2 linked regions of the Zea mays genome follow. The protein of the gene in region 2 interacts with the protein of the main gene of each other region in a pairwise test. Links are inferred from orthologs where the notes say so. Each region holds a gene or a part of one and is shown on either strand. Other genes may lie near its edges. The genes, in order: protein BRICK1 and SCAR-like protein 2.

Region 1 (3,738 bases), on a different chromosome or scaffold from region 2:
CGACGAAGCAGCTGCAGTGCACTGGTGCATCATCACCTTGCTGATGATGAATGATCTCCCTCTCAGACTCATCAGATCCTGAACGGGCAGCTGCAGCTTCTGAGAGTTCATCATTTGACAAGGTGCTGTGCCTCCTCCTCTTTCGTTATCTACAAGAACGGACCGTCGTTAGCGCAACACAGGGCATTTGGTCTAGTGGTATGATTCTCGCTTAGGGTGCGAGAGGTCCCGAGTTCAATTCTCGGAATGCCCCTGTTTTTTTTTTTTGCATCTTTCGACTAGCAGCATATGAAATTCGCATACATGAAGAGTTGAAGATCCTAAAAATTAATAATAAGCAAGATCCTTAAAACGAAAAAAATACTATAAAGTAGCAGAGAGAGACGGTACAAGTTACGAATCAAAAGGAGATCCCGCCAGCAGGAAGGAGGCTATGCTTTGCTAGATCTCTCTCATGGAGAAGGAGGAGGAGGAGGAGGAGCTTCCGGCGGCTGTGGTGTGGCCACGGGGAGAGGAGAGGAGAGGAGAGAGGAGAGAAAGAAACCAACCAAACCAAAGGGAGGAAAGATAGTTATTGTTGTGTGGTGGCAAGGCGATACAGCACCAGGACCACTTGCCTTTTTTTCTTTTCTTCCCCCACCCAATCTCCATTCTACTATTATTATCTTTTCAATTCTGCACATCTTTACACATACCACAATAATAATAACAAAATCCATTACATTACATGATTGATAGCGACCAGAATTCGTTGGTACAAGCAACATTCATACCTACATTTATCTATTTATTTATACATATAAACCCGCGATTCCTAGTTGAAGACGGAAGGGTTGGTCGTCGCGCTGCCCACTTGGACTTCAAGCACCTCCAGCTTCCGCTCTAGGATGTCCAGCTTCTCGTTCAAACTTGCCAGCTTGCTCTTCGTCGTAGCTTCTGCAAGCAAGCACATCTTTAGTAACTCCTCCAAAGTAGATGGTCAGAGTTAAGTAGCAAACACACATGCATGATAGATGGGAATATATCTAATGCAAACCATATTTTGGTGCAAACTCTATACAAACCTACTAAAAAAAGTTCCGAAAATTTCTGAAAAAGAACATGAATGTACATCTGAGGTTACATCATATATACACAAAATTTTATGGTCAAATTCATCTTACTCTAGCAGATACAAAAAAAAAACAAAAAATCTGACAAACAATAATAGTTCAAATGCACCAAAATTTGTCTTTTTTTTGTAACTGCTAGAGTAAGATGAATTTGACCATGAAATTTTGCATATAGATAAGATAAGCTTAGATGTACATTTATGTTTTTTTAAGATTTTTTTAAAACTTTTTTAGTAGATTTGCACGGGATTTACAACAAAACATGGTTTGTATTCGATATGTTCCCTTCGTACTTACCATGAAATTAGGACGACCAGGTATCTATTGTTCATAAGCGTTTCCTTCCCATAGCTCTTGCTGCATCCTCATGTACAACAATTGCTTCTCCCACAGCAACTCGAAAGGGATTCACATACCATCAAAAGATCCAACTATCAACAAGTGGTTGTGAGGTCTGAATCCCATGTTGGTGCTGTGTGGGATTCAACTATCAACTATTTTTTAAAAGGTACTTAGTGACCGCAAGTTACAGCCATTCCATGCAAAACCCGAGCCTAATTGACAACGAGCATGAGGCTGGTAAGTAGCAACAGGCCGAACGAGTAGGTAGGCAGGCTATGTAGATGGATGGCTGTTAGGATGTGTTGTCTGACATCAATTCAAACGTCGCCGGAATATTGATTATCCCACAATGACTAGTTAAAGCATCCGGTCTCATGGGTAGTTTGAGCAATTGTCTGCCATCCCACAATGACTAAACATAAGCTCGGGCAGGGCAAGGTAATATGCGGGTAGCAAGGACAATTAAGCTCCGCGTGGTATGGTATGAAGCACGAAGGCGGCGGACCAGATCCAAAAGTTGGAGATCCAGATCGAGAGAGGGCAGGCCGCGGGGAAATGGAATGGAAGAGGAGCTGACCGAATCTGAGGAGGAAGTCGAAGAGGCGTCGGACGTTGAGGGAGATGTTGGAGATGAACTCGCGGTTCTCCCAGTCCGCCTGCACCGCGATGCCCACGTTGACTGGGTTCCCCATCCCGCCGCCGCGACCCATCCCTGCCACCTGCTGCGCTGCTTCTTCCTCCACCAGCACCAGCACCAACTAAACTGTCCTCTGCCTCGGCTGTTGCTTGCCTCTTCTGTCTTGGAAGGCCAGGCTGGATGGTTGGTGTGAGTGGGCCAGGTTGTGCCGGGCCCTTCTCGCAATCTCAGCCGATACAAAGCCCAAGTGCCTGAGATACCCAGTGGGCCTGGAGATGGGCAGCAACTGCAATTATGCAATCAATAGCCACGGCGGCGGCGCTGCAGCTGCTGTGCCGGCCGTCGCTGAGCGCCGCTCAGCTCCGGCAGGTGGACGGGCACCTGCTCCGCTCCTCCACGCTCCTCCTCGCCGACCGCTTCCTCCCCAACCAGCTACTCCGCTCGCTGCTCCCAGCGCACCCGCTCGGCGCCCTCCGCCTGTTCCCGCGCCTCCGCCGCATCATCCCCGACTTCCGGCCGAACAACTACACCTTCTCCTTCCTCCTTAAAGCCGCCGCAGACTCGTCAGCGCCACCGTATCTGGAACCGGAGTCCCCATTCGGCTCCCACGCCATCGTGCCCTGTCTCCACGCCCTCGCCGTCGTCCTGGCCTGGGACGCCCACGCCTACGTCGCCAACGGCCTCATCCACGCCTACGCCACCCACGGCGTCCTGCCAGCCGCCCGCCGCCTCTTCGGAGGCGCCGTCGCCTCCCGCGCGGCCGACGTGTGCTCTTGGACGTCGCTCCTCACGGCCTGCGCCAAGGCCGGGCACGTGGATGAGGCGCGCGCCCTGTTCGACGGAATGCCCCGCAGGAACGATGTCGCCTGGAGCGCCATGCTGAGCGCCTACGTGGCCGCGGGCAGCTTCGGCGACGCCGTGCGGCTGTTCGAGGACATGCTCAGGTCGTGCGTCCGCCCCAACAGGGCGGCGGTGGTCGGGGTGCTGACCGCCTGCGGGGCGCTCGGGGCGCTGGACCAGGGCAGGTGGGTGCACGCCTTGCTCGTCGGCGGCGGCGGCCACGGCGTGGCGATGGACGGCGTAGTGGCGACGGCGCTGGTGGACATGTACGCCAAGTGCGGGAGCCTGGAAACGGCGAGGCAGGTGTTCGCGGCGGCACCGCGGGGGCAGCGGGACGTGTTCGCCTACACGGCCATGATCTCGGGGCTCTCGGACCACGGCCGCTGCGGGGAGGCGATCGACCTGTTCGGGCAGATGCTGGTGGAAGGGGTGCGCCCCAACGAGGTGACCTTCATCTGCGTGCTCACCGCCTGCGGCCGCGCGGGCCTCGTCGGCCGCGCCAAGGAGGTGTTCCGCAGCATGGGGGCGGTGCACGGCATGGAGCCCGGCGTGGAGCACTACGGGTGCCTGGTGGACGTCCTGGGCCGCGCCGGACAGCTGGCGGACGCCTTGGAGGCCGTGCGTTCGATGCCCATGAGGCCCGACTCGTACGTGCTGGGCGCGTTGCTGAACGCCTGCGCGGCGCACGGCGACGTGGAGGCCGGCGAGCAGGTGGTACGCTGGCTGGCGGAGCTGGGGCTGGACCACAGCGGGGTGCACGTGCAGCTGTCCAACATGTACGCCGGGTGGGGCAAGTGGGAGGAGGTG
Region 2 (4,507 bases):
AGTTGTGTCTTCGAACTAAGAGAAGAAGATCTGCTCATATTGTCAGGATTAGATCTTGCATCAGGTGTAGACTTATGCTCTGAGATACCCTGACCATCGTTGCTGGGAGATGCAAACTGCCTGCTGGAAAATACACTATTAAAAATGCTGTTCTGGATGTGCCATTCAAATATAAGAAGGGAACAGCCATAGAAGATGATCACGGATACAAAATTATTGTATCTTAAAGTATGGGATGTGCAACACCTGTTAACAAGTTGGCCAGCAGTAAGTGATCGCTGAAATTCAGTGCCCCTATGCCTAGGCATGGCTTGTCCATGATATGGTTCCCTTAGTCGTGATCCTTTTCTCTGTATAAGTTCATAAGCTCTATTAAGTCTTTCGGCAAATCCCAACATGAAAAAATATTACTAAGCACATATATCGACTTCAGACACTGAGAATGAATATAACCTTAATTTTCTGTGATCTCTTTTCTCTTTGTACATTAGCATTCTTATCTGCTCTCATCGTATCCCATGCTTTCTTGAAATAAGATGGATCAGAATATCTCTTTACACAAGCCCCCGCACCAGCATTGTCAAATCTGGAAGGAAATAATTTTAGATATGAAAAATGTTTATTAAGGAAAGCTTCAGCCCTTACTTATCAAGAAGGTAAAGCCGTGGCGGATCTCGGCATTCTTCATACGAATCCATCATAAAACGAGGCAGATCAGTCGCTAGCAGGTGATTTTGCTCATTTTGAAGCTGAGTGTGCCAATCAGAGCCTGTGTTTTATTAGTAAATTCTGTAAGATTGCAAGATAATATTGATCTCAAAGAATTCAAGATGGACAAGAGAGACATTCAAATACTATAATGGACAATCATGATCAGGGTACTTTTAGACATCAATGGAGTAATGAATAAATAATTACCCGGAACATAGGCAAAATGTATGTGACTCTTCTGATTCTTCACAGCCTTTTCGAGAGATGGAAGTGCTGCTTCGATGTTCTGTACTCGAGTCAGCACCTTGCGACCCCTAGCAGATGTAGCTATAACTTGCTCGTGTAGGTCATGGAAAACATCAGCCGCGAATCTGGTATGACCAAAGCTAGCACATCAATTTCACCAAATATTATTTTTTAAGATTTATTAGTATATCAAGGAACACAGTACGTAAGTAAACTGTCCATAGGTTATACAAAGGGAAAAAATGATAGAAGCATTAACAGACAAAAACAAACCCCCTCGGAGTGGCAACAGTTTTGCCCTAGCAAGAAATGGCAATTACCAGAACCCATGGAGATTCTCCAGCCAAAATTAGCAAAGAACTCTTGAGACAAACATTTACCAACATCAAGCCAACAAAAATGCGTCCAGTCAGACAGCCGCTAAGCAATCTAAATTCTAAAACAGAGCCTTTCAAAACTCACTAGTTGCTTCATATAAGAATACAAGATTAAAAAGAGACTTTCTGCAAACATAAATTGTAAGCTAAGACAAGATCTTACTTAAGACCTCCATGTCGCACCCGAGAAACAAAGCCAATCAGCACTGATTCAGGAAAGTGTGTCCTCCTCTAAAGAGCGAATGCGGCCGAAAAAAACCAGCTGAATGATCCCAGCAGATATAGCTGTTATGCCATATGCCGCTCCGGAAACCTGAAACCTTAGCGCCATCCAATCCAGTCCTAACACTAGACCTCAGAAAAAAAAAACCCAAAGACCGCCGCTGCTACAGAAGGACATCCAAATCATTCCCAGATAGTGCCACAATTTTGAACAGCCGGCACACGCAAACACTGCTCTAACAGTTCCTGTTGCTATGGCACATCACAGCGCTCGTTCACCCTAAGCGAATTCAACCACCTCAACACTGCTCTAACAGATCCCACTACTTCATCTCACTCCCATTCTCCCAATCCCAAGTCCCAACCACAGGGCCGAGCCCAAAAAACCCAACCATCCCCGCCGGGAGCCGTTAAACACGTAGCGTAGCAGATCCAGGCGGGAACCAGACCACAGAGACGCGCACCGGCGGGCGGCAGGTCGAAGGCGCGCATAGACCGGGCAGGAGGAGGAGGCAGCGAGGGAGGGAGGGAGCAGGGCCTTACTCCGCGAGATCTCCGAGCTGGCGCAGGATCCCGACGAGGCCCGCGACGGCGACGCCCTCGAGCAGCGCCTTGGGCTCCTCCTCCCCCGCGGCGGCGGTGGCGGCGGCGGCAGCGGCAGCTCCGCCGCCGTAGAGGCCGGGGTCCCCCAGCCCCACCTCATTCCGCACCTCGAACCTGACCAGCGGCATCGCCCTCCGCGCTCCTTCGTCACAGCCTCGGCCTCGGCAGCCGCCGCCCCCTCCTCATGCACCCGGGCCGCTGCGCGCTGCGCTGCGCTGTGCTCGCCGACGCGACGCCGCAACGGCTGCTTTATTCTGGTGGCTGGCGCGGTGTGGGAGTGGGAGTGGGAGGGAGCAGGTGCCGTGCGCCTGGTTGCCGCCCCCGCAAGGAAGAAAGAGGTGGCAGCAGGATGGCGGCTGGCGGGCGGGCTGCGGGAGTGTGAGCGTGAGGTGGACTGGAGAGCGGGTGGGGTGGGGTGTGGGGAGGAGGAGCGGAGAGCGGAGAGGGGGGGTGCGTCGGTCTCCGACAAGGTGAGGGACGAAAGGGACGCGGGGAGGAAAAGGCAGCGCGGCGGCACGAGGGGTAAGTGGCGATGCGGTGCGGTGGTAGGAGCGGGCGTGGCCGCCTGTGCTCTCTCTCTATCTCTGTCTGTCGTGCGGCCTGCGGGCGGCTCCGTCCACATCCACTCGGGTTGAGCGCCGCCCGCAGGTGGGTCGTGGCCGTGGGTGCGTGCGCCGGTGCGGCTGCTGCTTGGCTTTCCTTTGTTCCGGTCAGTCAGTGCCCGCGTCCGCCGGGTCAGGCCGCGGTTTCTGCCGGCCGGCCGTGTTGTTGTTCACCGTGGACTTTGGGACCTGAACAGAATCAAATCTTGGGGCATGCGATTTGGGCCAGTCCAGTCTAGTGTTTGGTGGTGGCCTGGTCATGTCAGCCGCGCCGCGCTTGAGAATTGAGATGATGCTTCTTCTATACATTATTAGTCCTTTCTTAATAATTCACTGGAGTGTTGTTGTTTTTTCCCCCTTTTGTCAAACTGTGCGAGTGAAATATAAAAAAAAGTGTACGTACGTACAAACACAATGTTTGTGTTGTTACAGAGCTTGCCTAAATCATTGCAGGCGGGCAACCTGCCTGCCATTCTTTTCTTTTGAGATGTCCTTTGGGAGGAGGGTGGGCGGATCTTAGGGTAGATCTAATTATTGGGTCAAGTGTTTACGTGAGCGCTTTTGTACTTGATGTGAGGTCCGTCGGGCATGACTAATGATGGCGGCGGCTGAGCAGGTGCCAGTGGTTCCTGTTCTAGCTAGCTCAATGATCCCGTGGAATGTAACGTAATGTAATCTAAAAGGGGGGACATTGGGGCTTTCTTTAATTTTTTTTGTTTAAAGATGTTTGATTAGATGCATATAAAATGGAACTGTGTTTTCTATGATGTACAGTCCGTACACCGGATTGATCATAAAATATATTTTTATAATGAAGTTATTTGAAGATATAATTGATGAAAGTATTATATATATATATATATTTAGTGATTGTTTTTTAACAAAAAAACTTCTTAAATCTCAGGCTGGCCTAATACGTTAGACAAATCTAAGGCTGAGGGCGGACGCGGAAATGAGCATCGAGCCATAGACGACACATGGTGGATCCAGCAAAGACCTCTAAAAAGTTATCTACTCTAAATATAGAGGATCAAACAGTTATCCATGCTCTACAGCAGCGTTCTTTAAACGATACTCTAAATTAAGAGGATGCTGCTAGATTCTCTATATATATTTATAATTTCTCTAAACGGACCTCTATTTATTTAAATACTTTAAATAAACGGTTTAGAAAAACTAAAATTTGTACAATACATTTGAGAGTATTACAAATACGTATGTAAAAAAATAAAAATAAAATATCTTTAACATAGATATTTGAGTATAGAGAGTGTTATTGGAGAGGAAGAAGATATAGAGAATGAAATTATTAGAGAAGACTGTAAATAACGGATATAAAAGATGAATATAGAGGCTGTTGCTGAAGACGGTCTTATAGAAACCGCCTTTACCTGGTTCCAAGTTCCAACGGAAGAAAGGGCGTCGAATTCTGTTTCGGTTGTTGGCATAATGGCACCTGTAGCGAGTAGCGACGGACAAATACAAAGATGGAGGTATAGGTGTACATTCGGGCCGCCCGGCCGGCCCAAGCCCGAAAAGGCCCGTATTATTTGAATTTCGGGCCGTCCCGGACCGACCCATGAGCCTAGCTTTCGGTCCACGGCCCGACCCGTAATTGCTTAAACGTGTCGGGCTCATTTCGGCCGGCCCGAAATTATAAAAGCCTGAAATTCACATTAGGGCCCGAAATTCAATTTTTGGCCTAAAATTCACATCAGAGCCCTAAATTCAAAAAATAATAAAACA

The links.
Region 1: the proteins of SCAR-like protein 2 (region 2) and protein BRICK1 interact in binary tests that used the Arabidopsis thaliana proteins (3 or more experiments, as listed by UniProt). The link is inferred for Zea mays from reciprocal best matches to the Arabidopsis thaliana genes WAVE2 and BRK1.

The regions. Positions count from the first base shown.
Region 1 is NC_050100.1:225,127,219-225,130,956, forward strand, and holds protein BRICK1, read right to left. Parts: upstream 2,227-3,738; 5' UTR 2,165-2,226; coding exon 2,032-2,164; intron 937-2,031; coding exon 815-936; 3' UTR 685-814; downstream 1-684. Other genes in the region: uncharacterized protein LOC100278793, read right to left, coding at 1-114. UniProt on the Arabidopsis thaliana protein: Involved in regulation of actin and microtubule organization. Part of a WAVE complex that activates the Arp2/3 complex.
Region 2 is NC_050103.1:24,585,986-24,590,492, reverse strand, and holds the start of SCAR-like protein 2, read right to left. Parts: upstream 2,902-4,507; 5' UTR 2,288-2,901; coding exon 2,100-2,287; intron 1,083-2,099; coding exon 919-1,082; intron 770-918; coding exon 646-769; intron 587-645; coding exon 454-586; intron 351-453; coding exon 247-350; intron 124-246; coding exon 1-123. UniProt on the Arabidopsis thaliana protein: Involved in regulation of actin and microtubule organization. Part of a WAVE complex that activates the Arp2/3 complex. Regulates trichome branch positioning and expansion.